7 linked regions of the Ovis aries genome follow. The protein of the gene in region 7 binds, or shares a complex with, the protein of the main gene of each other region. Links are inferred from orthologs where the notes say so. Each region holds a gene or a part of one and is shown on either strand. Other genes may lie near its edges.

Region 1 (4,570 bases), on a different chromosome or scaffold from region 7:
AATGCCCGGCTGCGCAGCGAGGAAAACGAATAGACGGCTCGCGTGCACATTTTGTTTGTGGTAATAAAAGCATAAAACCCGACCATCTGGCATCTCTCCCTTGGTTCTTACTCTTCAGGATGACAGCTCGCCTCAGATTGGTCTTCTGCCTGTTCTGCTCTCTGGAACCTTCTGTTAGGAAGGGGTGTTTGTAAAGGACCCATGATCTGCTCAGACCAGGGTAGGTTCTGAGACCCAGATGGAAGGACCTTGCACTTGGAGCAGGTAGTCATTTTTAGCCTCACTGTGTAAAGTTAGAACAGAAGTCACCCCGTGTGGTTCTTAGGAAGACTGAGGACAGTCGGGTTTCCCTTCTAGCTGCAGCCGTAGATCTCAGGCAGCAACAGCTGGAGTTCAGCTGTTCCATGAAGTTTTATGAACCATTTTTCCAACACATGGTTTAAGCAGCACAGGTCACGTGGGACAGGGCATGTCGCACTCTGGCACAGGACTGGGTTTAAATCCCATAGTTCTAGTAGATGGATGTCTCAGATTGACTGGGTCCTGTTCAAAACCTAATCTGACAAAACATTTGTTGAGTAAATTATTGGTCATTTCATTTCTCTGAAAGACTTGGGAAGCATTCTGACCGTCTTAACTACTGAGAAGAGGAATTGTGCAGAGAAAATAATGGTGATTCAGGATCTGTCCTTTATTGACCTGGGATGGCAGAAAATTCTTTGGCCTGACATTTACTGTTTCTGTGTCCTTGATACTAAAAAGTAAAGAGGACGGTTCACAAACCACCGGGTGACATATTTGCCGATTTGCTACATAAGAGTCTGGGGATTAGAAAAAAAATTACATCTTATTTCCTACCCAACCCACCTGGCCTTGCAAAACTGTAAAGCATTTTGGATTCTAAAGTGTGAAGAGCTCATAGAGGTATCTTGAGTTTTTCAGATGCCCAGCCAAAGCACTACTTTTTGGCAGATCAGAACAGGTGAAATAGAGAAAGGGGAGCAGGGGAGTGACGATGTCTGGGACAGCGGCAGGGAGGAAGGCCGGCCCCCTGCCTCCTGTGAGCACGAGGGTATTTCTAAAGACTGAACACTATGAGCAGGGACCCCTGGCTGGAGGGAGCCAGGCTAACCTGTGTGAAGTCACATCCATCTTTGTAGGAGGCCTGGAAGGACTACCACGCCCCCTCTGAATGACTGTCCTGAGTTAAAGGGCCCAACTGTTGGCAGCTCTGACAGAGCCTCTGAGTTGGGGTCCCTAGAGAAGGTGCTGGAAGCCCCGAGCAGGAGATGGAGAAAGGGCAGGAGTAGAGGCCTGCAGTGGTAGGGTGAGGCTCTGGCTTTGACTCTGGTGGGCCTCCCTACATGTTGGGGTAACCAGGGGGTGGGTGTTAGCTGAGTTCCATGGAGTCTGTGCTGGGAGCCGAAACAGAATCTTTCTGGATGCTTTCAAAGAGGGCAGCCAGCTCGGGGTTGGATCGAATTTGGGAGGAGAAGTCAGCCATGATGGGGCTCTTGCCCACTTCCGGGATGGTCAGCAGGGTGGCCACTGCCCTCATGGCCGAGCGCTTCAGTTCGTCTTGCTTCTCAAACTCCTGTTTCACAGAACCAGCTTTGACCTAAAGTGGAAATGATGAGCTGGTCACCTGTCATCTTCCCCAGCTCATGCCCCATCTCCTAGCTTCATTTACAGTGCTTAAAGTAGGCTCTCGGCACCGCTGGACTTGATGAATGGCTTGTTCTGACAGCCTGCTAGCTGACCCCTTCCCGCCACTCAAGTGCAACCCGTCCTGCTTACCAGCCCAAAGTTGGCTTGCCTGCCTTCTGTTGCCTTATCCCCACCTCGCCCGCCTATTCAGAGACTCTCAGGAATTTCCCTGCTGTTTATGGAATCAAGTCCAGGTTCCTGGTCTGCTCTCAGGACACTCCGTGACTCAACCCAGACGACACTCAGGCTCTTCCTGGTAGAGGTTAAGAGCTTGGCATTGGGGCTGGGCAGTGCTGGATTCAAATGGCTCTGCCCTTTTCTTGGTTAATTTGAACCCTTCCAAAACCCAAATTAGTTCTTGCATTTGGCAGGCATTTATTGGGTCCCCCTGGGTGTGACAGGCTCTTCTCAACGCGCAGCTTTCCGTGAGCCTTCTGCCCCAGGTCCTCCCTGGACCCTGAGGCACTCCAGGGTAACTGCCCACTAGCTAGCAATCAACCAGCAATTTCTAAGTGTCTGACTCAGTTTCCCCATTAGGATGTGAGAGGAGGGAGTCCACCGTGTTTAGTATTGCATGCCTGGTGGTACCCTGCACAAGGCCGGACACGAGCTAGGTTTGAATACCAGCTTTGCAAGTTACTGTGTAACCTGTCAGTAACCTCTCTGAACATTTGTTCTGTGTATAGAATGGTAAGAATAAGACAATGATAAGGACTGAAAGTGTTTCACATACCACCTGTATCTCCAGAGATTCTCGGTAAATGGTAACTGAACCATCTGCAGGGGACCTGGCAGGTACACCCAGAGCTGGGCAGGAGGCTTACCTTGGCAGTGCAGGTGGCCCTGAGGGGCTCGATGAGCCGGTCCACCCTCTGCAGGACGGGCACAGGACACAGGGTAGCCAGTCGGGCAAGCATGATGAAGGTTAGCATCTGACCGGGTGAAGGAGACAGTTCTTGGTGAAATAGCCCAGGACCGAAAAGAGCAGGCCCTGGGGGAGAGCAGAGGGGTGGACCTGACCCCCGGAACTCAGGTCCAAAGTAGCAGCCGGCCTGCCTGTCACCCTGATCTCCTCTGGCGCTCACCAAATACTGGCTGACTAAGGAATGCTTCTGTGCGTTTGCCCAGCAAACACAGATTTACAACTCCGGCTCTTAAGTGTGTGGAACTTTTGGGTGATTACCACTCCATTTATTCACTTTTGTATTGTCTAAACAAACACAATTAATGACTTGTCTTACATTGGTTTTTCATTACAAAAGGGATTCATGCTCATTGTATATATATTAAAAAGCTCCAAGAGGACAGAAGGTGAAAGCGGTCTGCCCCACAGGTAATAAAATGGCCAAAGTTTCACAACTCACTCTCCACCTGACAGTAGGTCTGGGCCACCTTCCACGCCAGCCCACAGTGTCAGGATCCCGTGACGGGAGGCACCCAGTGCACTGAGCCAACTCCCGGTGAGCATTTCCCAACTCCCAGAGAGCTGTGGAGAACCACCTCCCGCCTAAACCCTTGGAACGTATGTTTAGGGGTCAGTTCGTGGAGTGAATTTCACATTTTGAAATGTGCCTAGGGCTTCCCTGGCGGCTCGGTGGTGCAGAAGCCACCTGCCAGCGCAGGAGACACGGGTTCATTCCCTGGTGTGGGAAGAGTCCGCATGCCGCAGCGCAAGTAACCGGAGCTACAGCCACCAAGCCTGCGTTCCAGAGCCTGGAGCCACAGCCACTGAGCCTGTTCTCTAGAGCCCCGGAGCTGTGAGTACCCTACACTCTGTGCCCCACAACGCGAGAAGTCACCGCAATGAGAAGCCACACGCTCTAACCAGAAAGTAGCCTCCGCACGCCGCAACTAGAGAAAAGCTCGTGAAGCAACGAAGACCCAGGACAGCCACAAATAAATCAAGCGATAAATACATAAAGCGTTTCTAAGTTCTACTTTTTTGTAGTTCTGGCCAAACCAACCTCCCAAGGCCTTGCCCACTCCCACCAAAGGTGTGAGAACTGGGTTCTTACTGGAAAAGAACAAAGCAGGGGACTTCCCTGGTGGTCCAGTGGTTAAGACTTGGCCTTCCAGTGCAGGGGGTGGGCATGGGCACTGATCGGGGCACTAAGATCCCACATGCCATACTGTGCAGCCAAAAGTAAAAGAGAACAAAGCAACTACTCTCGTGGGGGTGCCTGGGGCGGGCGTGGGGGAGCCTGGGGCGGGCGTGGGGGACAGACGGGCAGTGGGTCCGGCGGGGGTCCTCCTACCCGGATGTCGTAGTGGTCCTTCAAGCCGTCCTCCACGTGGTTCAGGAACTCGCAGACATCCAGCTGGCCCAAGCAGCTCTCCAGCAGTGAGTACATGCACTCGAAGGCCGCCTTCCGCACATCCAGCCCATCGTCCACCGTGTGCTTAAAGGGCCCCATCTCCACCTGCAGGAGGGAGGGTGAGAGGAAAACAGGCTGAGGGCTGTGACCCCGGGGCATGGAGGACACCTCCCCAGGCTCCTGCTGTGCACCGCTCCCTCTCTCATTCAGTACTGTGTCCTGTCCCCAAATCATGCCTTAGACTCCAGTCTCCACGCCTGTGCTCAGCCTGCGACGCCTTTTTATAATGATAATAGTAATGTTCTAATGATAATTATAATCCACTGATCAGGTTTGCTCTGCCAGGCACTGTGCTGTCATCAGTCCCAGGAAGACTGTTACTATAAACTCCGTTTAATATATGAGGAAACTAAGGCTCAGAAATGTTAACTTGCCCAAGGAGACGAGCCCAAGTTAGTAAGTGGTTCAATCAGAATTAAAAATCCAGGTCTCTTTGACGTCACAACCACAAGGGTTTGCTTGTAATGGTAAACTCTACTCACCCCTCA
Region 2 (3,842 bases), on a different chromosome or scaffold from region 7:
GTCAATGTCCCACGTATTGGGGCTCTGCCCCCGGGGCCCTGGGGTGATGTGGCCTTGATGATGATCATGCTTTTTGGAGGCTCAGAAATTTTCAGTACTATGCATTGTAGATGAAGGCAAGAGCCCTCAGCATTAAGTGTCAGGATGTAACTGTTAATACATCCCAAGAGTCCTCTCTTGGGCGTCTCTCTGACAGGTATCCATGTGTGCACCTGTGCAGAGAGGCAGGGCCACCCCCAGTCCATTCCCTTTGTTTTGTGCTTGGGATCCCGCAGTGACATGTTTTCTTCTGCTATTGCATCCTGGCCCTGCCGTGGGGCAGCACTGAGCCCTCTGCTGCTCACCGGCATGTCTCATCTGCCTTCTGTGGTGTCTCCTGTTCACCTGCAGTGTAACCAGATCCACCACGGCCTTCGCTCTGGCATTGTTGTCCTGGGCAATGGGAAAGGCATCATCCGGAACAATCAAATCTTTTCAAACAAGGAGGCTGGCATTTACATCCTGTACCATGGAAATCCAGTCGTGAGGTATGTACATGCCTCTGTACTCAGACCACCCTGCTCACCCATGGTCCCTTTCTTCTTCTTTCATCTCTGGTTCCCTGCTTCCTGTCTTTGCTTCATTGGAAACCATTTTTGTTTACTAAAGCAACTGTATACATGCAAGCAGAGAAGAGACAGACTTCACCCACAATCCCACCTCAGTAACACAGCCTTCTGTGTTATATTATCTGTGTTCTGTGCCTTTGTGTCTGTGTTCCCTTCCAGTTAATTATGTGGGGCCATTCTATTCAGCAAGAATTATTGGGCACTTCTAATAATGATAACAAAGGTAAACCAGGCAGACTTTCCTCCCTCAGAGCTTACTCTAGTCTGGAAAAGGACATGTGTGTCCAGAAATAATGCTGAGTCCTATCTTAGCATTATTATCCTATATGGCATAGAGATTTCAACTCACTTGACGACTCTGATCAGTTGCTGGTGGCTATGTGGGATGCTGTGTTAAGATTGGAGGCTACATCTGACCTCAGCATGGAAGCATGCCGTGATCCATCACTGGTGTAAGCTGTAGGTAGTGGGGCTGTGGATCTGCCCTCCCACCCATCACGTGGTGCAGGCTGTGATAAATGCTGTCAAAGTGGTACCGAGAGGGGGAGTTATTCTGATGAGGGGGCTGTGGGGGGCCTCATTTGGGAGCTGGCATTGGTGTTAAGACTTTGAAATACAGGTAGGGCTTGGCCCCTCGTGGAGCTGGGGAGTAGACGCTCCTAGAGAAGGAAGTGGTGTGAGCAGAGGCAGCCGAACATAGCAGAGTCAGGGAGCACGCAGTCCTCTGGGGCTTGAGAAAAAGCCTCACACAAGTTGTGACATTGCTGTAAAACATCTCAAATTGGGACTGTCCTGGATCATCTTGGGTCCTGTGGTCACTGCAGCCTGAGTGTTTATATCCCCGTGGCAGTCCATCTCTGCCAGGCAGTGTGCTAGAAAGCCTTGGGCCAGATGAGGAAGGCCTTATGTAGTCCAGTGGGAAAGGTGGAGTTTATTCTGTCTAGATAAGGGGGGATCACTAAAGGTTTTGAGTGGAAGACTCACATGTTATGTCTGCACTTTACAAAAATAACTGGAATTACTGTGCAGCAAATATATTCTGAGAGTTTTTCCCTGCATTATCCTGTGTGTACTTTTCCATGTTGTTGCAGGATCTTGTATTTATCACTTTGGTCAGTTTCAGAACATTCCGTTGTTTTGATACTCCCTCATTTTTGAACCAGTCCTATTACTGTTAGGCTTCTATTTTTTCACTATTGTAGGCAGCTTGTTTTTGTTTGTTGTTTAGTCACTAAGTCATGTCCGACTCTTTTTCTACCCCATGGACTGTAGCCCACCAGACTCCTCTGTCCATGGGATTTCCCAGGCAAGAATACTGGAGTGGGGTGCCATTTCCTTCTCCAGTAGGCAGCTTACTAAAAACAATTAGTGATCACGTGATTATGGAGCTGTTTACCCATCTTTTACGTTACTGCCTTAAGAGTATGGGTTTGTATGTGTGCATATTATTCATTAAACACACATTTAGGTGTTTCCTCCATATAAGGGGGTTAGCAGTATAAAGGTGTATGAACAGTCTCTGTTCTGTGAAGTGTTCACTGTCATTCTACAGATGGGAGCTATAAGGGAAGGACTCACTAAAGTGAGCATTTTTATAGGTCTTCATGCAGGTACAGAAGAAAACCAGTCATGATTGCCACTGAGTCAGGACAGGGCACATGGGGCACTGACATTTGAGCAGTGCTCAGATGGTAAAGAATCTGCCTGCAATGTAGGAGACCCAGGTTCAATCCCTGGGTCAGGAAGATGCCCTGGGAATGGCAACCCACTCCAGTATTCTTGGCTGGAAAATTCCATGGACAGAGGAGCCTGGCAGGCTACAGTCTGTGGGGTTGCAAAGAGTTGGATGTGACTAAGCGACTAACACTTTACTTTTACTGAAGGACAAGTAGGATTTTATGGCCTCAGAAAGGCATTACAAGCCTGGGGCAGTGAAATTTGGAGTATGACCTGGGAAAGTGGTGGGAAAAGTGTGGTATGTCTGGGCATAAGGTCAGCCTACAAAGTAGGGTTGATGCTGGAGCATGGAGGAACTCGAATACCACGTGTGGTAGGTAGAATAATGGCCCCCCAAATCTATCCACTTTCTAATCCTTGGAACCTGTGTATAGACTGTCTGCAAGGCAGAAGAGACTCTGCAGATGTGGCTCAGTTAAGGGTGCTGAGATGGGGAGAGCACCTGGGTGATCCAAGTGGGCCCAGTGTAATCACAGCGTCCTTAGAAGAGAGAACAGGAGAGTCAGAGAAGGAAATGTGTCAACAGAGGCAAGGCCAGAGGAGTGAGGCCACAGACCAGGAAGCCTGAGCCGCCTCTAGGATCTGGAAAGGTCAGAGACAGATCCTTTCCGAGTCTCCAGAAAAAAGGCAGGTCTACTGGCACCTTGATTTAGCCCTGTCAGACCCATTTTGGACTTCTCACCTCCTAAACTGGAAGATAATAAATTCGTATTGTTCTAAACCACCAAGTTTATGATAATTACTTACTGCAGCCATATACCCAAACCTTGTGGGTGCTGGGGAGCTGTTAAAGGGTTTCGAGCAAGGAATATTACAAGCAGATCAGTGTCTTGGCTTTTTCGTGGTGGTTGTTGTTATTTTATTTTATTTTAGGCTTTTTAAAACAGTCACTTTGAGGGAATTCTCTGGTGATCCAGTGGTTAGGACTCCATGCTCTTACTGCTGAAGACCTTTGTTGACAAAGATCCCGCAAGCCAAGAGCCTCCCCCACTAAAAACAATTCTGGATTTAGATGTAAACTACTATATGCAGAATGAATAAACAACAAGGTCCTACTGTATAGCACAGGGAACTATATTCAATATCCTATCCTGTGATAAACTATCATGGAAAAGAATATGAAAAAGAATGTCTATATGTGTATAAGTAAGTCACTTTGCTATACAGCGGAGATTGGCACAACATTATAAATCGAATAGACTTCAGTAAAAAGTATTTTTGAATAAAACAGTCGCTTTGAGAGAATTAGGTTGTGCTTTTTTCCTTTATGTTTCTTTGTGATGGAGGACAGGGATTTGTGGGAGGTCCCTGAATTTCAAGGTCCCTGATGTGACCTCAATAAGGCAAGCCATTGAGCATATTTTTTTGCTGGTAAGAGTTACATAACCTATGGTTTTTTGTTTTTGTTTTTTGCCTTGGCTGCAAGGAAGCACAGGACTCAAACTGTGTTAATACACCACCCTTGGTCCTTGGAACAATGCTCTGTCCCCTTTTCCT
Region 3 (4,579 bases), on a different chromosome or scaffold from region 7:
GCTTCTACCAGCACCACTGTTTTTCGATTTACAACATCAAGGTCTCCAACAACATCACTTACAACCAAGAAACTGATTTTACAGTCAAAAAATTCTGATAATGGGGTTGCACTATGGAATGCAGTGGTCTTACAATGTACATCATCAACCAGAAAAAGATGGTCCAATAAAAATATGAGATGCACTGCTGAAGGCTCAGGTATGGCAGCAGTTTGGAAACCCCACTCTATGATATAAGAATGTTGTACCATAAATTCTGGTGCACATCTAAGATCAACAACTAATAGGTGATGGTATTTTTTATAGCCATTATAAACACACTCTTCAGAGAATAAAGAAGGGAGGTGGTTGCAGCTCCTATTTCCCTCAAACTAGTAACTCATTTACAGATCATTTTCTTTCCATCCCCCAACACAGGGCTCAGCCTTGTTCTAAGGGTCTAGTAAAGAAAGAAGTTCTTCCACCAGAGTAAAAACTCTGATTCTTATAAATAGGAATTTGCCACTACTCCCTGGCTCTTTGAGGTTTCTTGTGCTTGCTGCTGCTGCTGCTGCTGCTAAGTCGCTTCACTCGTGTCCGACTCTGTGCGACCCCATAGACAGCAGCCCATCAAGCTGCCCCTGGGATTCTCCTGGCAAGAACACTGGAGTGGGTTGCCATTTCCTTCTCTGATGCATGAAAGTGAAAAGTGAAAGAAGTCGCTCAGTCGTGTCCGACCCTCAGCGACCCCATGGACTGCAGCCTTCCAGATTCCTCTGTCCCTCGTATTTTCCAGGCAAGAGTCCTGGAGTGGGGTGCCCTTGCCTTCTCCGTTCTTGTGCTTAGTGGCTCAGTTGTGTCCGACCCTTTGAGACTCCATGGACTGTGGTGAAGTATACAACTGTGAACGTATTTAATGCCACTGAACTACACACTTGAAAACGGTTAAGATGGTAAATGTTATACGTACTTCACCATAATTTAAAATAATAATAAAACAACCTGAGAAAGTCCCTGGCTCAAGGATAAGTACACAGTTGTTGCCTCAATAAATGTCAAGTCCCTTCTTACCACTCACTGGTGTGATAATGCGCTGAGGTACTGTGGAATAAATTGCTCTCCCCCTGATGTTAAAAGAATATCAAGTCTCCTGAAAAGGAATTGTTTTTGGAAATAGGGAACAGAAGATGGCCTTTAGAGGAGACCTCCAGGCACCCCTGTCCATCCAAACCTCCTTTAAAGCAGCTCCCACACGAGGGCACAGCACGTAGGCCTGCATGGCTCCTCCACGCAGCAGATACGATGCTTCACTCTATTACACAATGAGGACACGGGAGGGAACGCAAAGCAAGGACTAAAGGCTGCGGAGCTTTCGCTCGCCCCAGCCTCCCAGAAGCTCCAGACTCTGGCGGCACCTCAACCCCTCCGCCTTCCTCCTCCCTTGGCCCCGCCCACTCTCCTCCCGCTCTGCCCGCCTCCCTTTCAGATTTGCGGTGGACAAGGAATCGAAAGTGAAATAAGGAAACGGCTGCCATCCACTGCGTCTCTTGAAAAGGTGAGTGAACTTGGCTAGACCGAGGTACCCCAGCTCTCCCTAGGGGACCTCTCTCCCCTGCCCCAGGTCTGAAGTGCCTCATCCAAGCCGTCCCCACCCCTAGAGATTTCGATCTCAGGTTTTCTTTCGCAACAGGTCTCCCTCAACCTTAACCCAGCAGTTTTTCCCCTGCAGCCTGGGAGGAGGCTGGGCTGTAAACCTGACTGGGATGTCCCCTGGAAGGAGCTCGGATTGCTCTGCTTCCGCCGGCACCTGAGCTGGGAAGAAAAACCAGGGAAACTGGGAGAACCAGGATGGCAACCTAGCTCAGGGGTGGTCCGGGAGCCCGGTGTGGGGGTAGGTCCGCGATCCCTGAGACTGCTGTCCCCAAAAGGCTCCCTCTGGAGGTGAGAGAGACAGGGTTGCTTAGGATATTAGAAAACTATGGGTCTGCGCCCTAGAAGAAACAAAGGCGGGGCCAGGTTCAGGGTAGCTGAGAGAAGAGCCCAGGAAGTTCTTAATAAACCTCACGCTTCTGTGTGTATGCACATACATATATACACACATATACATATGCGTGTGTGTGTGTGCTCAGTCGTGTCTGACTCTTTGCGACCCCATGGACTGTATGTAGGCCGCCAGGCTCCTCTGTCCACGGGATTTCCCAGGTAAGATACTGAAGTGGGTTGCCATTTCCTTCCCCAGGGGATCTTCCCAACTCAGGGATCAAACCTGCTGTCTCCTGTGTCTCCTGCATTAGCAGGTGGATTCTTTGCCACTTGCACCACCTAGGAAGCCCATGTACTTACGGATATACGTGTATCCTTATGAAAATATGTAAGCATAAATATAAATATTCTTATATATATTCATGTTACCGATGATTAGATAGATACCAATAACTCCTGCCTATTGCAAAGATTAATGAGAATGTATGTGAAGCATGTAGCACCTGGCACATGGAACGAGCACAGTCAATGGTCGCTACTGTTAAGATTAGCTTCTCAACAGAGTAGAAAACCAGTGGCCTGAGGCAGAAGATCAATAGGTAAAGCCTGGACTCTGAGCGGTTAAGCAGAGATGAACATGATGAAAGTCGAATTGTAAGCAGCTGTCTCTCAGGTTCTCAACAATATTTGCTATCTCTTGGGGACTCAGTGTCCCCTTCTGTCTGACTGGATCAGTGACCCAGACTATGGAAGAGGAGCACTATTCAGGTTGAGGTCCTTGTCTTTTCTTGTTTTCACTCCCTCCAGTTCACCCTCTCTCGTGGTTCCCTTTTCTTACCTGGCTCTTCTCTTCCGTCCCTTTCCTCTTCTCCCCTCACCGCAAGATCTCCCCAGCACTACCGAAGAGGAGCATCACCCCAATGGCTTCAGCCGTACCCTTGACAATGATGTGGGAGGAGGTCACGTGCTCTATCTGCCTGGATCCCATGGTGGAGCCTATGAGCATTGAATGTGGTCATAGCTTCTGCCAGGAGTGCATCTCTGAGGTCGGGAAAGAAGGAGGTAGCGTCTGTCCTGTGTGCCGGCGCCACTTCCTGCTCCAGAATCTCCGGCCCAATCGACAGGTAGCCAACATGGTGGACAACCTTAGGAAAATCAGCCAGGGTGCCAAGGAGGGCCCACACGGGGAGCTGTGTGTGGTGCACAGAGAGAAAATTCACCTCTTCTGTGAGGCAGATGGGAAGGCCCTTTGCTGGGTGTGTTCCCAGTCCCAGAAACACCGTGATCATCCCATGGTCCCTATTGAGGAGGCTGCTCAGGAGTACCAGGTGAGTCCTCAGCACAGAGGCAGGAACAGGTAAAAAGGAGATGGGGCCCTGTTGATGGCTTTGTTCCCCAGAGCTGGAAATGGGAGAGAGTTACCTGTGGGGCTGGGGAAAGAATAGGGGTCTCCTGCCTTCTATGTCTTATTTAAGGGGGAAATGGCAAGCTCAGCACAGTTTTCTCATTCTCACAGAGCAGGGATGTGCTATGGGAAAATGCTTCAAGAATCTTCTTCCCTTGTGGCCTCCTGCTTAATTAGGAACAAGCAGTGCCCCCACCCTTTGTACACCAACCGTGTGGCCCTATTTTGTAAGAAATATCAGGCTTTTTCCAAAACCTTCCCATCCACAGAGTTCCTACCCCAAACAGACTCTAGTCCTTCCTTGTCCTCTGCACTCAGCCTCTTCTAAGAACCAGTATGATCTTCCCCCCACTTCACACCACTGCACCCTACTTCTTGACCTGACTGGGTATCATCTTGCTTTCGTTCTCTGCAGGAAAAGCTTCAGGTGGCACTAAAGAAACTAAGAGATAAGCAGGAGATGGCTGAGAAGCTGGAATTGGACATTGCAATGAAGAAAGCATCCTTTAAGGCAAGAGTCATATCCTGAAGGGAATCTTAGATCTGAAGCCTGGGGAGGGTCCAGCTATGCCAGTCCCTATATCTCACTCCCCAAGAACCAGCTGCCCCATAGGTCTCTTGATGGAGGGGATTAAAAGAGTGTGGAGATCAAAAAGAGCTCCCAGTCAGATGGAGAGAGAGTCTTAGGAAAAGGTGCTGAGGGACAAGATATATTCTAATGCTCCTGCTTCTTGAGCCCAGTCTCTGGAGATGACAGCCCAGTCTCTGGAGATGGCCTCAGAGTTTGGGACAGGGGAATGCCAGGAGAGATGCCCAATGTCAAGAAATGACAAGTTGTCAAGAAATGACAGTGACTATGAGAACCAGATTTAAGTGAACCATAAAGGCCTAAGATGGGCTTCCCTAGTGGCTCAGATGGTAAAGAATCTGCCTGCAGTATTGGAGACCTGGGTTCAGTCCCTGGATTGGGAAGATCCCCTGAAGAAGGGAATGGCTACCCACTCCAGTATTCTTGCCTGGAGAATCCCATGGACAAAGGAGCCTGGCGGGCTACAGCCCATAGATTCACAGAGTCGGACATGACTGAGCAACTAACGCTTTCACTTTCAAAGGCCTAGGACAGGAAAGCCAGTCTGACCGGGTAGTTACTTGACCATGTCCAGCTCACTGGTCCAAAATGTAATGGAGAGCTACAGCTTGTTCCACCCCAGG
Region 4 (3,842 bases), on a different chromosome or scaffold from region 7:
GTCAATGGGAAAACATCGTCTGCTTTTCATGTCATAGGAGTCAGCTCATCCTATCTTAGAATGAGGAAATAATTAGCAAACAGTTATCATTCCTTTTCAATATTTGTGGCATCGTGTTCAGAGTTTTCCTCTACACACCAATGCACCGTAAACGTTGTCTGGCTGGAGGTCTTGAAATCTGTTTTGCTGTGCTGCAAACGTAGAGGTGTGTGTGTTTCACTAGAAGCCTGTAGCCAAGAGCCACATTCGCCGACTGGATGCTCTGACGGGGTGACAGGTTATGGAGCCCTGCAGTGATGTGTGGTGTACATCACAGACTGTGGGATAAACCTCTGTGCGTCCGTAGAGGTACAGGGCTGAACAGCCAAGCAGACTAGGGGCAGGGGTAGTGTTTGTGTGACCGGCTTCATCCCCTGTGTCAATAAGAGGAAGACTTCCGATACAGTGCGGACATCCACCATAACAAATGCTAGCGCCAGCTAAATTCAACTGTGTGTATAATGTCCTCTGAATTCCCAGCTGTCTCAAGAAGGACTAATGTGAAAGATGTTATATGCTCTTACATTTTATAGATCATGAACAGATGGGGGGAAAGTGTGCCAATTGGTAAAGAAATTCATATGCAGAATAACACACCTCAAAATGGTGTTTCGAAGGTTTTTCTTTTTTAAAATTATTAAATTTATCTTGGATAAAATTTAATTACTCCTTGGGGGTTTCCTGTAATATTATATGCGTAATTCATTTGAGTTTATGCCCTCTACAGATATGAATGTTTGGAAGTACAGGTAACCTTGTAATGAATAAAACTGATAAAAGGTTGTGTTCCAATAAAAGGGAAATTATGGAATGATTATTCACTTTGTGAAAGGCTCTGTCATAGGGCACACTTTCCTAAAGCATTTTAAATTGGATTACATTTAGGAAACATTCGTTTATACACAACATTTCAGGAACAAATGTAGTGAGGAAATGAGAGAACTACTCATAATAAGATAGAGATCCCTTCCGCTGCTGACGTTTGTGCTTCCTGTCTTCTCTGCCTCCCCTCGCAGCTCTGATAGCCATCGGGCGATACAGCATGACAATAGAGACTGTGGACGTCGGCTGGTGCAAAGAGATCACGGACCAAGGGGCCACCCTGATTGCACAGAGCAGCAAGTCTTTAAGATACTTGGGGCTGATGAGATGTGATAAAGTGAGTTGCCTGTCGACCTTCTTTCCTACGTATCCGTGTCGTTTACAGCTTGATATTAGATTTTTCTTCACTACCTGGGTATATATATGTACACATGCACGTACTTATGTTATTACAGGTATGCATGGGAAGCTGCCTGGTTTTCTAAACTAATCTGAGATGATTTTTGAATATCTCTGTTTAAAAATGAATGTTTGTGCTTATGCAGAAAGAAAACAGCAGTCACACACACACTTAACTTAGATTTTGGCTTCCTGTCCGCAAGTCCACGGACCACGATTAAGTGTGTTTGCGTGGCACACTGCAGTGCGTGTGGCTTAACAGTGAAATTCCACTCAGGTTCCAAGTTTCCTGCAGCAGTAAGTTGGAAGGCCCGCTGCCAGATGATGCTGCCGCAGTCTGAAGTGCTCACTGCTCAGCGTCTTTGTGTTCTGCCCCTCAGGGGGGCAAGAAAGGGCCAGTGAGGCAACATTAGTTGGGAATCCCCACACTGCAGATGCTGCTTTTCACACATGTCGAGAAGCGGTCCCAGAGGCCCCACCGATGGTCAGTGGAGCTGGCCAGAGGCATGAGCCTGAGTTTGAGAAGTCGGGCTGCGTTTAATAAAGATGATCAGAAGCTGCACTGATAACCAGGCATTGGAGACGCACTTTCCCCTTTGTCTCTTTTACGTTTTCCTGGTAACAAATCTAGGAGATGGTCTGTGCTGCGAAGGGGAGAAAACGGAGCTCAGAAGGACCAGACACTGGCCCCATGCCCCCCATCCAGGGTGGCACCCCAGATCTTCAAGCCTATGGCCAGTGCCCAGGGCCCACCGCAGGGACTGTCTCCAGAGAAGGGGGTGCTTCCTTGGAAAAGACCCACCTCAGCTACTCGCTCTGAAAATGTTGGCAGCTTGTAACAATTTATACACGTGTGCTGCTTTTTGTGATTGGTGATTAGGCACAATGTAGCAAAAGAGCCTGAAGCTAAATATATATGCCTCTCAAAGGACATGCAGTTTCTAAATGTAGCAAATTGGGGACAAATAAGAATGGCCCAAATTCTCTGTGCGCTTTGTCAGTTTTGTTAATTGACCTAGTTCTTTTTTCCAGATGTTTTACAATCCCAGCTTATACCAGACCTTTCCAGTTAGTCATGATTAGAGAGACTTTATATACTCAGCCCAGCCTAGAAAGCTGACTGAGTTTATTACTGAGCAACAGCGGAGAGCCCGGGGTGGCAAGTCTCTCTTAAATTTCACCACTAACTAACTTAACACTGCTACTAACCCTGTCACTTCGAAATGATTCCTTTTAAAACAAGTGAGAGTCCATAGCAGGCAGAGTGTTCTAGAAACCCCGAACAGTGACAGCAGAACTCTTCGGCTTCTGCCCGAAGGAATCGCTGCGCACAAACTGCCTGCGCAAGGGCAGGAAGAGGTGAGCATTCACAGCCGGGCCCCTGCGCCCACAGCCATTCACAGCCGGGTCCCTGCGCCCACAGACATTCCCAGCCGGGCCCCTGCACCCACAGACATTCCCAGCCGGGCCCCTGCGCCCACAGCCATTCACAGCCGGGTCCCTGCGCCCACAGCCATTCACAGCCGGGCCCCTGCGCCCACAGCCATTCCCAGCCGGGCCCCTGCGCCCACAGCCATTCACAGCCGGGCCCCTGCGCCCACAGCCATTCCCAGCCGGGCCCCTGCGCCCACAGCCATTCACAGCCGGGTCCCTGCGCCCACAGCCATTCACAGCCGGGTCCCTGCGCCCACAGCCATTCCCAGCCGGGCCCCTGCGCCCACAGCCATTCCCAGCCGGGCCCCTGCGCCCACAGCCATTCACAGCCGGGTCCCTGCGCCCACAGCCATTCACAGCCGGGTCCCTGCACCCACAGACATTCCCAGCCGGGCCCCTGCGCCCACAGCCATTCCCAGCCGGGCCCCTGCGCCCACAGCCATTCCCAGCCGGGCCCCTGCGCCCACAGCCATTCACAGCCGGGTCCCTGCGCCCACAGCCATTCACAGCCGGGTCCCTGCGCCCACAGCCATTCCCAGCCGGGCCCCTGCGCCCACAGCCATTCACAGCCGGGTCCCTGCGCCCACAGCCATTCCCAGCCGGGCCCCTGCGCCCACAGCCATTCCCAGCCGGGCCCCTGCGCCCACAGCCATTCACAGCCGGGCCCCTGCGCCCACAGCCATTCACAGCCGGGTCCCTGCGCCCACAGCCATTCCCAGCCGGGCCCCTGCGCCCACAGCCATTCACAGCCGGGCCCCTGCGCCCACAGCCATTCACAGCCGGGTCCCTGCGCCCACAGCCATTCACAGCTGGGTCCCTGCGCCCACAGCCTCTGGCGGAGGCCACCGTGTTTCTAGTCCAGACTCTAGACCTGTTGAGATCAGCACCCTCTTTGGAGCTGAATTTGGTACTCCAGTTAGTTAAGAAGATCCTTTCAGATGTATTTGCTGACTAGCATTTTGCCAATTTTCAGTAAGTGGAAGGATCCTTTTCTGCATAAATGCAAATTCGTCCAAAGTAGGGCTGTCACAATCCAGCCCACTGTCACCAGCCCAGCCCTGCCAGCCAGCGTCCTCAGGCTTAAGGCAGTTCAGGGCCAAACGCGGGAGGTTCTGTGCGGACGGAAGAAGTTTCCAAACCACACCCAA
Region 5 (3,842 bases), on a different chromosome or scaffold from region 7:
AAATAGAAATCCAACACTTCTCAAATGGTTATCCAGATGACTGGAATTTTGTATAAAAACTGTACCCCCCCCAAAAAAATATATATATATTACAAAGTCTTTTGTAAGTTTACTGAATCCATAGGGCTTTTTTTTTTTAATGGGTGTCATTTTCATATTATTTTTGTTTATAACAGATGATGATGTACCTGCAGATATGGTTGCAGAAGAATCCGGTCCTGGTGCACAAAATAGTCCATACCAACTTCGTAGGAAAACTCTTTTGCCAAAAAGAACAGCGTGTCCTACAAAGAGCAGTATGGAGGTAGGTTAAATGTCTGTTTTTGTGTGTATAATGAAAGAATTGTTAGGAAACAAACAGGACTGTCATCATTTTTTAGAAGTAATGATTATGGGTAAAAATACATGCTTAACTAGTTTTCATTTTGTTTTTGAAGGGTGCTTCAACTTCAACTACAGAAAACTTTTTTGGTCATCGTGCAAAACGTGCAAGAGTTTCTGGAAAATCACAAGATCTATCAGGTATTTCCTTTGAGAAAGTTAAGGAATAGGGTCAAATAGTTCTTTTAAATTTTGTTTGATAACAGAAAGTTAAAATTAAGTGTTTATTTACACATTTGAGATTGAGAAAGCAATAGTTACAGAATAAACCTGAGAACCCTGACCTTCTCCATCTTTGACTGTAATTGTTGTATAAAAATATTTTTTGTATATTTATTGTAACCAATTACTGAAATGGTACATACTAGCTAAAAAAAAGAATACTGTTAAGAGAAAAGAAAAGAAATATGTGTCATCTCTGAAAGCACATGCTTATAAAATAATAGTCATCAAAAAATAAAAGCTCTTCATTTAACAAAATGAAAATTGTGCTCTTTAAATAATGAGAAAGCCTTTGGTAGCATGACAGATTATGTTCTGTTTGTTAATCTTTTTATAGCAGCACCTGCTGAACAGTATCTTCAGGAGAAACTGCCAGATGAAGTGGTTCTAAAAATCTTCTCGTATTTGCTGGAACAGGATCTTTGTAGAGCAGCTTGTGTGTGTAAACGCTTCAGTGAACTTGCTAATGATCCAATTTTATGGTAAGTGAAAATTTATTTCTTAGTATCTTGAGATATATTACTTACTGCCCCAAATGCTAAAGGATGGTAGGAAGGCTGGAGTGTGAGTTGATGGTTACAGTTAAATAGAAGAAAATTAGAATATTTATAAATTCCAGTTCAGTCGCTCAGTCGAGTCCAACCCTGTGACCCTATGGACTGCAGCACTTCAGGCTTCCCTGTCCATCACCAACTCCTGGAGCCTACTCAAATTCATGTCCATTGCCTCAGTGATACCATCCAACCATCTCATCCTCTGTCATCCCCTTCTTCTCTCGCCTTCAGTCTTTCCCAGCATCAGGGTCTTTTCCAGTAAATCTGTTCTTCCCATCAGGTAGCCAAAGTATTGGAGTTTCAGCTTCAGCATCAGTCCTTGCAATGAATATTCAGGACTGATTTCCTTTAGGATGGACTGGTTGGATCTCCTTGCAGTTCAAGGGACTCCCAAGAGGCTTCTCCAACACCACAGTTCAAAAGCATCAATTCTCGACACTTGGCTTTCCTTATAGCCCACCTCTCACATCCATACATGACTACTGGAAAAACCATAGCTTTGACTAAATGGACCTTTGTTGGTAAAATAATGTCTCTGCTTTTTTAATTTCATGGCTGCAGTCACCATCGGCAGTGGTTTTCAGTTCAGTTTAGCTGCTCAGTTGTGTCCGACTCTTTGCGACTTCATGAAGTGCAGCACACCAGGCCTCCCTGTCCAACACCAACTCCCTGAGCCTACCCAAACTCCTGTCCATTGAGTCAGTGATGCCACCCAGCCATCTCATCCTCTGTCGTCCCCTTCTCCTCCTGCCCTCAATCTTTCCCAGCATCAGGGTCTTTTCAAATGAGTCAGCTCTTCCCTTCAGGTGGCCAAAGTATGTTGGTCCTTCCATTGAACACCCAGGACTGATCTCCTTTAGGATGGTCTGGTTGGATCTCCTTGCAGTCCAAGGGACTCTCAAGAGTCTTCTCCAACACCACAGTTCAAAAGCATCAATTCTTCAGTGCTCAGCTTTCTTTATAGTCCAACTCTCATATCCATACATGACTACTGGAAAAACCAGAGCCTTGACTAGACAGACTTTTGTTGGCAAAGTAATATCTCTGCTTTTTAATATGCTGTCTAGGTTGGTCATAACTTTCCTTCCAAGGAGTAAGTGTCTTTTAATTTCATGGCTGCAGTCTGGAGCCCCTCAGAATAAAGTCTCTCACTGTTTCCATTGTTTCCCCATCAATTTGCCATGAAGTGATAGGACTGGGTGCCATGATCTTAACTTTTTCACTGTTGAGTTTTGAGCCAGCTTTTTCACTCTCTTTCACCCTCATCAAGAGTCCTCTTTGCTTTCTGCCATTAAAGTGGTATCAGCTGCATATCTGAGGTTATTGATATTTCTCCCATCAATCTTGATGCCAGCTTGTGCTTTATCCAGCCCAGCATTTTGCATGATGTACTCTGTATATAAGTTAAATAAGCAGGGTGGCAATATACTGCCTTGACATACTCCTTTCCCGATTTGGAACCAGTCTGTTGTTTGATGTCCGGTTCTAACTGATGCTTCTTGATCTGCATACAGATTTCTCAGGAGGCAGGTCAAATACTCTAGTATTCCCATCTCTCTCTGCCTTTGTTCCTCTGCCTTTTCTAAATCCAGCTTGAACATCACTGGAAGTTCATGGTTCTTGTATTGTTGAAGCCTGGCTTGGAGAATTTTGAGCATTACTTTGCTAGCATGTGAGATGAGTGCAGTTGTGCGGTAGTTTGAACATTGTTTGGCATAGCCTTTCTTTGGGATTGGCATGAAAACTGACCTTTTCCAGTCCTGTGGCCACTGCTGAGTTTTCCAGATTTGCTGGCATATTGAGTGTGGCACTTTCATAGCGTCATCTTTTAGGATTTGAAATAGCTCAACTGGAATCCTATCACCTCCACTAGCTTTGTTCATAGTGATGCTTCCTAAGGCCCACTTGACTTGGCGTTCCAGGATGTCTGGCTGTAGATGAGTGATCACAACATCATGGTTATCAGGGTCATGAAGATCTTTTTGTATAGTTCTTCTGTTAATAATATCTTCTGCTTCTGTTGGGTCCATACCATTTCTGTCCTTTATTGTGTCCATCTTCGCATGAAATGTTCCTTTGGTATCCTTAATTTTCTTGAACAGATCTCTAGTCTTTCCCATTCTGTTGTTTTCCTGTATTTCTTTGCACTGATCACTGAGGAAGGCTTTCTTATCTCTCCTTGCTGTTTTTTGGAACTCTGCATTCAAATGGATATATCTTTCCTTTCCCAGTTACCTGTTTATCACAAATGTTGGTTATCAGTCCAGGCAGTTTTTAAAACTATAAGAAAGAAAGTGAAGTCACTCAGTCATGTCTAACTCTTTGTGACCCCATGGGCTGTAGCCTGTCAGGCTCCTCAGTCCATGGATTTTTCCAGGCAAGAATACTGGAGTGAGTTGCTACTTCGTTCTCCAGGAGATCTTCCTGACCCGGGGATTGAACCTGGGTCTCTGGGTTCCCAGGTTCGCATTGTAGGCAGACGCTTTATCATCTGAGCCACCATCTGAGTACTTATTTAAAACAATAAAGGAAGTACTTTTTCTGCTATTTGTCAGTTAAAAGCTACTGAGTGATTTTGGAGAATGCTTTTCATTCCATTGGTTTTTAGAAACCGAACTAAGTCTAATTTAAAACAGCTAATAGTTCAGTAAGAATGTAGATTTTGTATATCGCTTTTAGAAAAGA
Region 6 (4,333 bases), on a different chromosome or scaffold from region 7:
GCAGGCCCCAGGCTTGCTCTGCTCTACCCACTCCTCTTCTGCACGCACCACCCCCACCTCCTCACCCCTGGAACCTCATAGCCACGCTGTGATCATCTGTTCACTTGTCTCCTACTCCAGACTGGCTTGGAGGCTTGGCACCTTGGGTCCTGTGTGTGTTCAGCTGTTGAGCACAGAACCAGTACCCTGATGGAGTTCAGACAGCAGTGTGAGTGAGGGGTGTGGGCACAGAGCAGTTTGATGCCTTGGGAAGAGTGTAAGAAGAGAGCCTTGACCCAGATTCCCTGGCTTCTCTGGGAAAAACCACTATGTCCTTGGCCATCAAGCACTTCTCCCAGAAGTTGCATTTCTTTCCTTGTCAGAATGTCTCACGGAGGAGGTGGGGTGAGAGCTGGTTCCTGAAAGACAAGGCCGGGTGGGCACTGCCTAATACCTGGGTGAACGGAGTGTTGCAGCCACTAAAGCAAGCAGGCGTGCTCTTCTGTTTTAGTGGGCTCCCAATTGACCGCGAGGAGATGGTGAAGACTGACAAGGCCCAGGTGACACGCTGAGGGTTTGCCCTGGGAGGGATGGAGGGGTCCAGGCTGAGCCGCGTTTCAAGGGAAGGAGTCAGACGCGCTGAATGAATCACCCAGGCCTGTTTCTGCCCTGCGATCTATACCAACAGCGGCACGGACAGAACCAAGGGTCTCCTCGCCTGAAGCAAGGACGGGAGGCAGGGCCTTCGGCCTCAGGGTGCAGGCCACTAAGGTCAGGGGGCAGCCTTGGTGAGGTGCCTCCCGCGGGGGCCCGCTCGCCTGCGTCCACGCAGGTCGAAGACCGCGTCGGGGTCCGCGCTCAGAGACCCCTGGCTCGGAAGCGCTGCCGGTCCGCTCAGACCTTCACTGACAACCCACTGTGCGCCATGGGCTCTGGTCGCCGGGATCTCTGCCGCCGACTCAGCGGCAAGGCCGAATCCCAGAATAGGGCAGGTCAACGCGGCTCGGAGGGAAACCAGGAATTCCACTGCCGACTGCCCCGGAGCCGCGCTCCTTCAGACCCCAGCCAGTGCTTGGGAGGCGGGGCGGCCGCGCAGGTTCCACCAATCAACAGCCGGCGTTCGAATTCGCATCCTGGAGCAGCCAGTCGCGGGCGCCCGATGCCGAGGGGGCGTGGCTCGGGGCGGAGCCCGGTGGGGTAGTGGCGCTCGCCCCCCGTGGTGGGCCAATGGGAACGCCCGGCGCGTTTGAAAACTCAGGCGGGAGGCAGGCGGGTCTGCGCCTGCGTGGGGAGGCGCGCTCTGGGCCCGCGGGCGGGTCTGGCGGCTACAGCGGCGGCGGCGGCCACGGCAGCGACGACGGCTATGGGGAGCGGAGGCGGTGAGCGCGGGGCGCGGGGCGCGGTGGAGTGGCCTCCAGACTGAGTGGGGCCCGCTTGAGCCTTTCAGCCCGGGGTTCGGATCGTCCCGACGGCGCCTACCCGGCGCGCGGTTTAAATACCCAGCGGCGCCCAGCTCCGCGAGAAAGCGGCGCGAGGGGACCACCACCTGTGCAGGGCCGTGAGCGCCGCCGAGGAATTTCCGTGGTTATACCGTGGCTGTCCTAGGGCAAGGGAGTGAGGATAATAGGGCAAAAGGCGAGGATTGGTCGAGCTGCGTATGCGCTCGGCTTTCGCATTAGGTTAATTACTGATGGGAAGCCCGGGTGAGGAACGAGGGGAGAGGGCAGGAAGACGCCCTGAGCAGGGAGCTTGCCCGGTGGTGGAGCAGCCACCTCCCGTGGGGACTGGAGGAAGGAGCGGATGAAGAACCGGGTGAAGCGTCAGGAATGGCACCTTCTGCCACAAGCTCCTCTGCTTGGAGGGAGGAAAGAGTTGCTGGAGCTTAAGTTGGAAGGACCCCCCTGTCAGGGTCTCAGAGGACCCTGAGACCGGCGGGACAGCTCTGACATCCACAGAGCTGGGACTGGCCTGCCCTCCAAGTCCACCCTTGGCTTCTCTGCAGGGTGGACCCTCTGAATTTGAACTGGAAAACCTGATTGTTCAAATCCTTATTAACATTTCATGTTTTAGTCATGTGTGCAAATAGAAGCAAAGAAATCAGCTAGAGTCCAGGCGTCTCCCTGGCTAATCATCATCAACACTGTCTGCTCTTCCTTTCTTCCTCGTTGTTATCTGGGCTCTGGGTCAGACGGTTTCCCAATGGCCAGCTTACATGATTACTACTCACTGTAAACATTTATCGAATAATTTGAATGAATGAAGATGTCTCTTATACCACTACGGCTTCTTTATTTAATCTTTGGGACTGTAACTATGGCTGGGGCAGAGGACCAGTAACTGTTAAAACATGTTCAGATGTAACTTTTCATATCACAGTTCATTTCCAACACATCACTTAAACCATTCTGATTTGTTTTCTTAAGTGATCCACTGTAGGTGTGCCAAGTGTTTCTGTTATCCTTCAAAGCGGAGAATAAGGAGGAGACCTCGAAACCTCACAATCTTGAATCTCCCTGAAGATGCGCTCTTTCATATCCTGAAATGGCTTTCTGTTGGAGATATCCTCGCTGTCCGAGCTGTAAGTTGTCAGATGAACACAGTGTCAACCCTGGCATTGTTGATTTTACCACGAAGGCTTCATGTCTCAAATGTCAGAACAAAAACTCTGGCTACCGATGAGGGTAGATGATCCCCAACGGTGATGTTGGCAAGTAGACGTTTGAGGTTGTTCTGACGACAGGAAAGCAAAAACATAGGACAGCAAGGTTTGAGTCCGCTCTTTGCAGTGTTTATTTTAACAGAGAAAGTACCTTTTCCTGGCAGTGAAATTTGAATCCCTCAAGATACGGGAGAGTGTTAAGAAGAAAAAGAGTATGTTCTTGAAGATGGTGTGAAGTAGAAGTGTTAGTTGTTCAGTTGTGTTCAACTCTGTGACCCCATGGACTGTAGCCCACCAGGCTCCTCTGTCCATGGGATTCTCCAGGCAAGAATACTGGAGTAGGTAGCCATTTCCTTCTCCAGGGGATCGTCCTGACCCAGGGATTGAACCTTGGCCTCCTGTATTGCAGGCAGATTCTTTACTGTCTGAGTCACCAGGGAAGCCCTTATGAGGACAAATCTCATATAATATCCAGTGCTGAAAGGGGCTCTGGGCTTTATTGTGCAGACATCAGAACTGCAGCCTCACCCTGAGCCACTTAACCAAGGGCATCCAGCAAATTAGTGGGGGAACACCCACAAGAACCCATTTGTCTGACTCCCAAACCTGCCTCCATTGTGTTCATAACATCTGCAAGTGCCATTTCCAATGGCAGTGGGAGCTTTTGCACTTAAAATGCTTGCTAGTGCCCCCGTTGACCGCCCAGATTCCAGCTGTGCTCCCACTAGCAAAACAGATTTCTGACCTACCCGTTAGCCCTAGAGTCGGTTTCCCTGGTCGTTGCAAGTATATAGCATTATATCCTGTTTCTCAGCCTGGTGCTTACCCCCACTTCCAGGACCTGTCCCCACCTTTAGAACCACAGAGAAAGTTGTGTCTGATTTCTTTTCTCTGTTCAAAGCAACTGCTAGTTAGTTTGATACACAGAGCCCAGGAGGCCTTACTGGTAGGGTCAGAGGGAGACAGGAGATCCTATGTCTGTCTAACCCTGTCTTCAACAGCTCCAGAAGTGGGCCTTCCCTGTAGTCCCTTGATAACCCCCCACCCCACTCCTGTTGTTCCTCAGGTACATTCCCACCTGAAGTACCTGGTGGACAACCATGCCAGCGTGTGGGCATGCGCCAGCTTCCAGGAGCTGTGGCCTTCTCCGGGGAACCTGAAGCTCTTTGAAAGGTATCTGCACCCAAGAGCAGCCGGGCTTCCTCTCACTCCTGGCCTTCCCTGCCGTGCCAGTCTGTCTCAGGGCTGGACCTGGCCATGGTTTTCCTTCTGCTTGTAGGCCTCTGCCAACACCATATCCCCCAGGGAGTGACTGAGCATATAGACCTCACCCATCGAGTCACATGACTTCTAGCATGGTCATGGGTCATCCGCACCCCCAGCTCAGACCTGCCACTCATTAGTCACAGTGGTGCTTCCGGAAGGTCCGCTTCGGCTGTGACCCATCCCGCGTGGCTCAGATGCAGGTCACCTGCACGTGGAAACTTCTTATTTCCCTTACTTTGGTCAGGACCATGTGGTTTGAATCCTAGTGCATTACATTCCCTGGCTGATCCCACCCCCTCCGACAGACCTGGAGGAAGAGCCAGAGGGGCCAGGAGCCACACAGTGTGCCCGTGGTCACAGGCAGGCTGCCTGAGACAGTCCACGAACCATACAGCCCACCCACTTAGAGTGTACTGATCAAGTGGTTTT
Region 7 (3,842 bases):
AAGAATGGCTGGTGTGGTAGCGCTAACTCTGAGTCTAGACCTTCACACAACTTCATGATCACAGATCGTAATCAACATCCACGCGCTCCGAATCTCCGCGGCTCACCCTCGTTTTTGTCGGCGTCCAGCAGGTTCTGGAACTCTGTGTGGAAGATCTCCAGGTGCTTCTCGATGAGCACCTGCTCGCACTTCCTGGCGAGCTCGTCCTGCGTGCTCTCGTGAAGGTACACCTGGACCCTGCGCTGCTCCTCCAGCAGACGAGCCTCCGCCTGCGGGAGTGAGCTCAGGTCAACAGTTTGGACTTGTGTCTTTTTAAAACAAAACCAATGACAAATTCAACTCGCAATCCTGCCCTACCTAGTATGAGGAAGAAAACAAGAGGAGGGAAGGGGTCCTTTGACTCAGGCTGGGGTGGGGAGGGAATGCTAACCACAATAACCAGTCCCCGGTGCGCACCACTTCCTCTGTAACCTGTATCTTTGTTTCCAAGTCCTCTTCAAATGACTTCAACGAGGTTATCATGATTAACCATCCGAATGTCTTTATATCAATCTCCTTCCTACAGATACGTGCTGTTTCACACTTTCGAGGGTAATACCCTTATCGATACTCTGCAATTTAAGACTTACAGACTGTTTATTTCTGGAACTTCTCATTCCATATTGTCAGAGAGAGGCTGACTGTGGGTGACTGAAACCGTGAACAAGGGAGGACTACCGACCACAGGCCAGCCTCCTTTCACTGTGCTCTGGCACTGGTTTTTGCTTTGAAATAGGAACTAAAGGTCTGTGGTGACCCTAGTTGTGCAAGGCTGTCAGCACCATTCTTCCAAGAACAGGTGCTCACTCTGTGTGTCTGTGCTGCATTTCCGTTATTCTCAAAATATTTAAACTTTTCATTATTATTATTTGTTAAGCTGACCCTTGGTCAGTGATCTTTGATGTTGCTATTATAATTGTTTTGGCATAATTTAGCAATAAAGCATTTTCAAATTAAGGTATGTACATTGTTTTTTTTCAGACATAATGCCATTCTCCACATTTCACAGACTTCATGACCAGGGAAACCAACAAACCCAAACTCCTGGGTATGAAGTCATTAGGTTTTAGGAGGGACAGTGATCTACATTCTCTGTTGATTTGACGGTAAATAAGCTCGTGATCACCACTGTCCTTGGCAGACAATTATATCAGAGTACAAATTCAAAAGGACTAAATAAAATTAAGCAAAGACTGTCTCTATTAATTCTATTAGGATCAGTATACAGGAAAAACAAAATGAAAAAATGGATCAAAAAGCAGTCAGCAAATTCATAACATATATTTTGTTTTTAAAACTTAAAAAAATGATATTAGAAACCTAGAAAGGTCAAGTATTCTTTGAAGGCTCACCACAGACTCAATCACAAGAGACAGAGAGTAAGATACACTGAAACTAACGTGGCTGAGGCTTGTTCCCCCGACACCATCAGTAGCAGGGAAGCACAGACTCTCAACTGTTTCCTCTGAAGGACAATGCAAGAAAAAGGAACACAGACCCCAGAGAATCTGTACATCTAGCCTAAACGAGCTGCTAAAAGGAGAGTAGTTCTTGAAAGTTGATGTTTTATCTCAAAACTGTTCATGAGTTTTGTATTTTACTTCCTAATAGTGTTCGAATATAAACATATTTTCTCAAGTTATAGAATAAAATGTTCCATATTTTATCCTGTGTACTATCAGGCATACACTGGAGGTTTTGATGCATACTCATGGCCAAACATCAAATAATACATAATAATGATGATGATGACGATGGTAAAATATCCCCATTTTACAGATGAGGAAACTGAGGAACAGACTTTAACCACCATTTACTAGGGGGTTAAAGTCACCCTTAGTAAATGGTGGAGTGGGGATTTTCAATTAGACACATAGCCCAGTTTGAGATGCAAGTCTACAGCTAGTAGTAACAGTAGCATTGTTCAGACAGTTAAATTCCAATTTTAAGCCCACAGAATCTCTACATGGTGGATTTTTCAAATGGAATGGCTGTCATGTTTGCTAAGACCCAACCAGATTTGGGCCAAACCATTAACCCAAGAAACCCCATTTAAGATGGCCAGGATGCAGGTAGCACATTCTCCCTTGAAGGCAGGGCTCAGACTGGGTTGAAACCATACGTCTATAAAGCGGATTTCCATGCACCAAAGCACTACCACCTTCCTCGGTGTGGACAGCAGGTAACTGCAATTCACGAAGAAGTCCATGAAATGAAAAGGCCTGAACCACACGTGTGGATCTGTATCCTGATAAAAGGCTACACTTTTAAAAAACATATACAGTTTTAAAAGACTTACCATATATTGTACAGTTCAATAAAAGATATGTTTATGAAAACTACACTGTAAAAATCAGTGCTTAGATTTAAAACTGATTGGTCAAGCAGCTGTTTCAACTCTCAATAAGCTGGTTAGCTTCCAGACTGGCACATGAAAGCTAACTTAACTCGTAAATACACAAAGAACTATCACTTTCCCAAGTGTAATAGTTCTGTGGGGTTCCACTTCTGTTAGGTTTTGAAGGACTCATCTGTCAAGGACTTTTAACTTCAGACTTGTAAGGCCCACTTACAATTACTATCTCTTATGGGAAAATGTTCTAGGAACGTCATGGACAAACTGAGGAGGACTTTATGTGGTTAGACAGGGGAGCTGTTGCTCTCCTTGACTTCTGGTCTCAGCACATGGAGAAAGTGACTCTGCAGTGACTCTGCCCTCCAAGTGAACAGAGACTAAAGGGAGAAGCGGGTGTCCGACACACAGCCCCGGACCCCCTGGAAGTCTCCTTGCCCGTTGAGGTCAGGGGTTGGCAAACTATTGCCTGGGGGCAAAGTTCTGCTGGAAGGAAACTTGCACTGGAGCACAGTTTCGATGTTGCCACGGCTGCTTTTGTGCCATAATGCAGAGCTGAACGGTTGCAGACGAGACCACGTGTGCACGAGGTCTAAAGTATTTACCATCTGGCCCTTCAAGGAAAGTCTGCTGACCCCTGACTGAGGTCACTCCTCTGAGCTTAAGTCTGGGACACCGGTATTTCCGAGAAGGGAAGCTAGAATACCTCCCGCAGAACTGTACTGTGACATCACTTGATGTAGAAGATTCATGATGCAGAGACCAATCCCCAGTCTTCTCATCTAAAATTTCAATCCTGTTCTTTCAGAAGGACTTCTCTAATACACACTGGAAGGTTGTGTTAAATAGATTTTTAGGAGAGATCTCAGAAGCAAAAAAGTAAAAAGCTTAAAGTTTGCAGATAAAAATTTGTTTCTTCAAATACTATTTTTTCACTGATGTAAGACGGTGGCTGCCATTAGATACACCTGTACATTCTAGGAGAGAGTGTTCAAACACGTATGTCATTCAGCTGTAACAGTTACATCCTCCACACAGTAGGAGAACATGAGCCACGATTATTAAGTTAATTTATACAAGCTCCTTAGTGAGTGGGGAGAAACCATTTGCACCTGCTACAAACACTACCGGTTAACAGTGCCCAAGACATGACTTTGAAGGAAGCTGCATATATAAGCATAAAAAGAGTAATTTACTTGAGCAGCAGGAACTTTTAACTTAACCCTACTCTAAGTATGTTTAAGCTTACCTTTTTCATATATTCAGTAACCGGGTTCTGCTGCAAGAATTCGGTGCTCTCTCTGGTATAAAATCTTTCTGTGTCTGCCAGAAACTGACACTCAAAGGACTCTTTGTACACTGTTAGCGTGGGGCCCTTTGCAAAGGCGTCATCTTCATTCAGTCCCAGCTCCACTGGAAGTAAACAGAACTATGTTTCAACTGCTTCATA

Evidence for each region.
Region 1: the proteins of CUL1 (region 7) and CAND2 are in contact, whole or in part, in a cryo-EM structure (PDB 8VVY), measured with the Homo sapiens proteins. The link is inferred for Ovis aries from reciprocal best matches to the Homo sapiens genes CUL1 and CAND2. Residues at the interface, in NP_001357589.1 of Homo sapiens: Val31, Thr33, Arg34, Gln35, Met37, Lys39, Tyr42, Met111, Asp112, Trp123, Arg127, Phe128, Val132, Asn181, Leu184, Glu188, Gly193, Glu194, Thr195, Asn197, Thr198, Arg199, Ser202, Gln206, Val209, Glu210, Gly212, Leu213, Asn214, Lys221; in NP_001155971.1 of Homo sapiens: Asp21, Phe22, Phe24, Met25, Asn61, Gly62, Glu63, Gln65, Asn66, Leu67, Glu100, Gln101, Asp104, Asp156, Asp160, Leu189, Ala190, Lys193, Arg194, Glu276, Gln280, Asp343, Asp344, Trp349, Lys350, Arg353, Glu389, Ser492, Ser493, Thr494.
Region 2: CUL1 (region 7) and FBXO10 share a complex: the UniProt entries of both Homo sapiens proteins name them as parts of the SCF(FBXO10) complex. The link is inferred for Ovis aries from reciprocal best matches to the Homo sapiens genes CUL1 and FBXO10.
Region 3: CUL1 (region 7) and TRIM21 share a complex: the UniProt entries of both Homo sapiens proteins name them as parts of the SCF(SKP2)-like complex. The link is inferred for Ovis aries from reciprocal best matches to the Homo sapiens genes CUL1 and TRIM21.
Region 4: the proteins of CUL1 (region 7) and FBXL17 are in contact, whole or in part, in a cryo-EM structure (PDB 8UBT), measured with the Homo sapiens proteins. The link is inferred for Ovis aries from reciprocal best matches to the Homo sapiens genes CUL1 and FBXL17. Residues at the interface, in NP_001357589.1 of Homo sapiens: Thr54, His143, Arg147, Asp150, Glu151; in NP_001156787.2 of Homo sapiens: Pro325, Ser327, Leu330, Asp358, Phe359, Gln360, Asn387.
Region 5: CUL1 (region 7) and FBXO11 share a complex: the UniProt entries of both Homo sapiens proteins name them as parts of the SCF(FBXO11) complex. The link is inferred for Ovis aries from reciprocal best matches to the Homo sapiens genes CUL1 and FBXO11.
Region 6: CUL1 (region 7) and CCNF share a complex: the UniProt entries of both Homo sapiens proteins name them as parts of the SCF(CCNF) complex. The link is inferred for Ovis aries from reciprocal best matches to the Homo sapiens genes CUL1 and CCNF.

The regions. Positions count from the first base shown.
Region 1 is NC_056072.1:56,293,859-56,298,428, forward strand, and holds the end of CAND2 (cullin-associated NEDD8-dissociated protein 2), read right to left. Parts: intron 4,128-4,570; coding exon 3,963-4,127; intron 2,640-3,962; coding exon 2,532-2,639; intron 1,619-2,531; coding exon 1,391-1,618; 3' UTR 671-1,390; downstream 1-670. Other genes in the region: RPL32 (large ribosomal subunit protein eL32), read left to right, coding at 1-33.
Region 2 is NC_056055.1:51,222,657-51,226,498, forward strand, and holds part of FBXO10 (F-box only protein 10), read left to right. Parts: intron 1-390; coding exon 391-527; intron 528-3,842. UniProt on the Homo sapiens protein: Substrate-recognition component of the SCF (SKP1-CUL1-F-box protein)-type E3 ubiquitin ligase complex. Mediates the ubiquitination and degradation of BCL2, an antiapoptotic protein, thereby playing a role in apoptosis by controlling the stability of BCL2.
Region 3 is NC_056068.1:49,571,136-49,575,714, forward strand, and holds the start of TRIM21 (E3 ubiquitin-protein ligase TRIM21), read left to right. Parts: upstream 1-1,478; 5' UTR 1,479-2,181; intron 2,182-2,218; exon of another isoform or gene 2,219-2,350; intron 2,351-2,846; 5' UTR 2,847-2,882; coding exon 2,883-3,290; intron 3,291-3,782; coding exon 3,783-3,878; intron 3,879-4,579. UniProt on the Homo sapiens protein: E3 ubiquitin-protein ligase whose activity is dependent on E2 enzymes, UBE2D1, UBE2D2, UBE2E1 and UBE2E2.
Region 4 is NC_056058.1:104,497,979-104,501,820, reverse strand, and holds part of FBXL17 (F-box/LRR-repeat protein 17), read left to right. Parts: intron 1-1,055; coding exon 1,056-1,198; intron 1,199-3,842. UniProt on the Homo sapiens protein: Substrate-recognition component of the SCF(FBXL17) E3 ubiquitin ligase complex, a key component of a quality control pathway required to ensure functional dimerization of BTB domain-containing proteins (dimerization quality control, DQC).
Region 5 is NC_056056.1:76,631,410-76,635,251, forward strand, and holds part of FBXO11 (F-box only protein 11), read left to right. Parts: intron 1-176; coding exon 177-304; intron 305-437; coding exon 438-522; intron 523-940; coding exon 941-1,085; intron 1,086-3,842. UniProt on the Homo sapiens protein: Substrate recognition component of a SCF (SKP1-CUL1-F-box protein) E3 ubiquitin-protein ligase complex which mediates the ubiquitination and subsequent proteasomal degradation of target proteins, such as DTL/CDT2, BCL6, SNAI1 and PRDM1/BLIMP1.
Region 6 is NC_056077.1:2,458,320-2,462,652, forward strand, and holds the start of CCNF (cyclin-F), read left to right. Parts: upstream 1-1,276; 5' UTR 1,277-1,342; coding exon 1,343-1,358; intron 1,359-2,402; coding exon 2,403-2,557; intron 2,558-3,704; coding exon 3,705-3,811; intron 3,812-4,333. UniProt on the Homo sapiens protein: Substrate recognition component of a SCF (SKP1-CUL1-F-box protein) E3 ubiquitin-protein ligase complex which mediates the ubiquitination and subsequent proteasomal degradation of target proteins.
Region 7 is NC_056057.1:113,128,062-113,131,903, reverse strand, and holds part of CUL1 (cullin-1), read right to left. Parts: intron 3,806-3,842; coding exon 3,642-3,805; intron 270-3,641; coding exon 107-269; intron 1-106. UniProt on the Homo sapiens protein: Core component of multiple cullin-RING-based SCF (SKP1-CUL1-F-box protein) E3 ubiquitin-protein ligase complexes, which mediate the ubiquitination of proteins involved in cell cycle progression, signal transduction and transcription.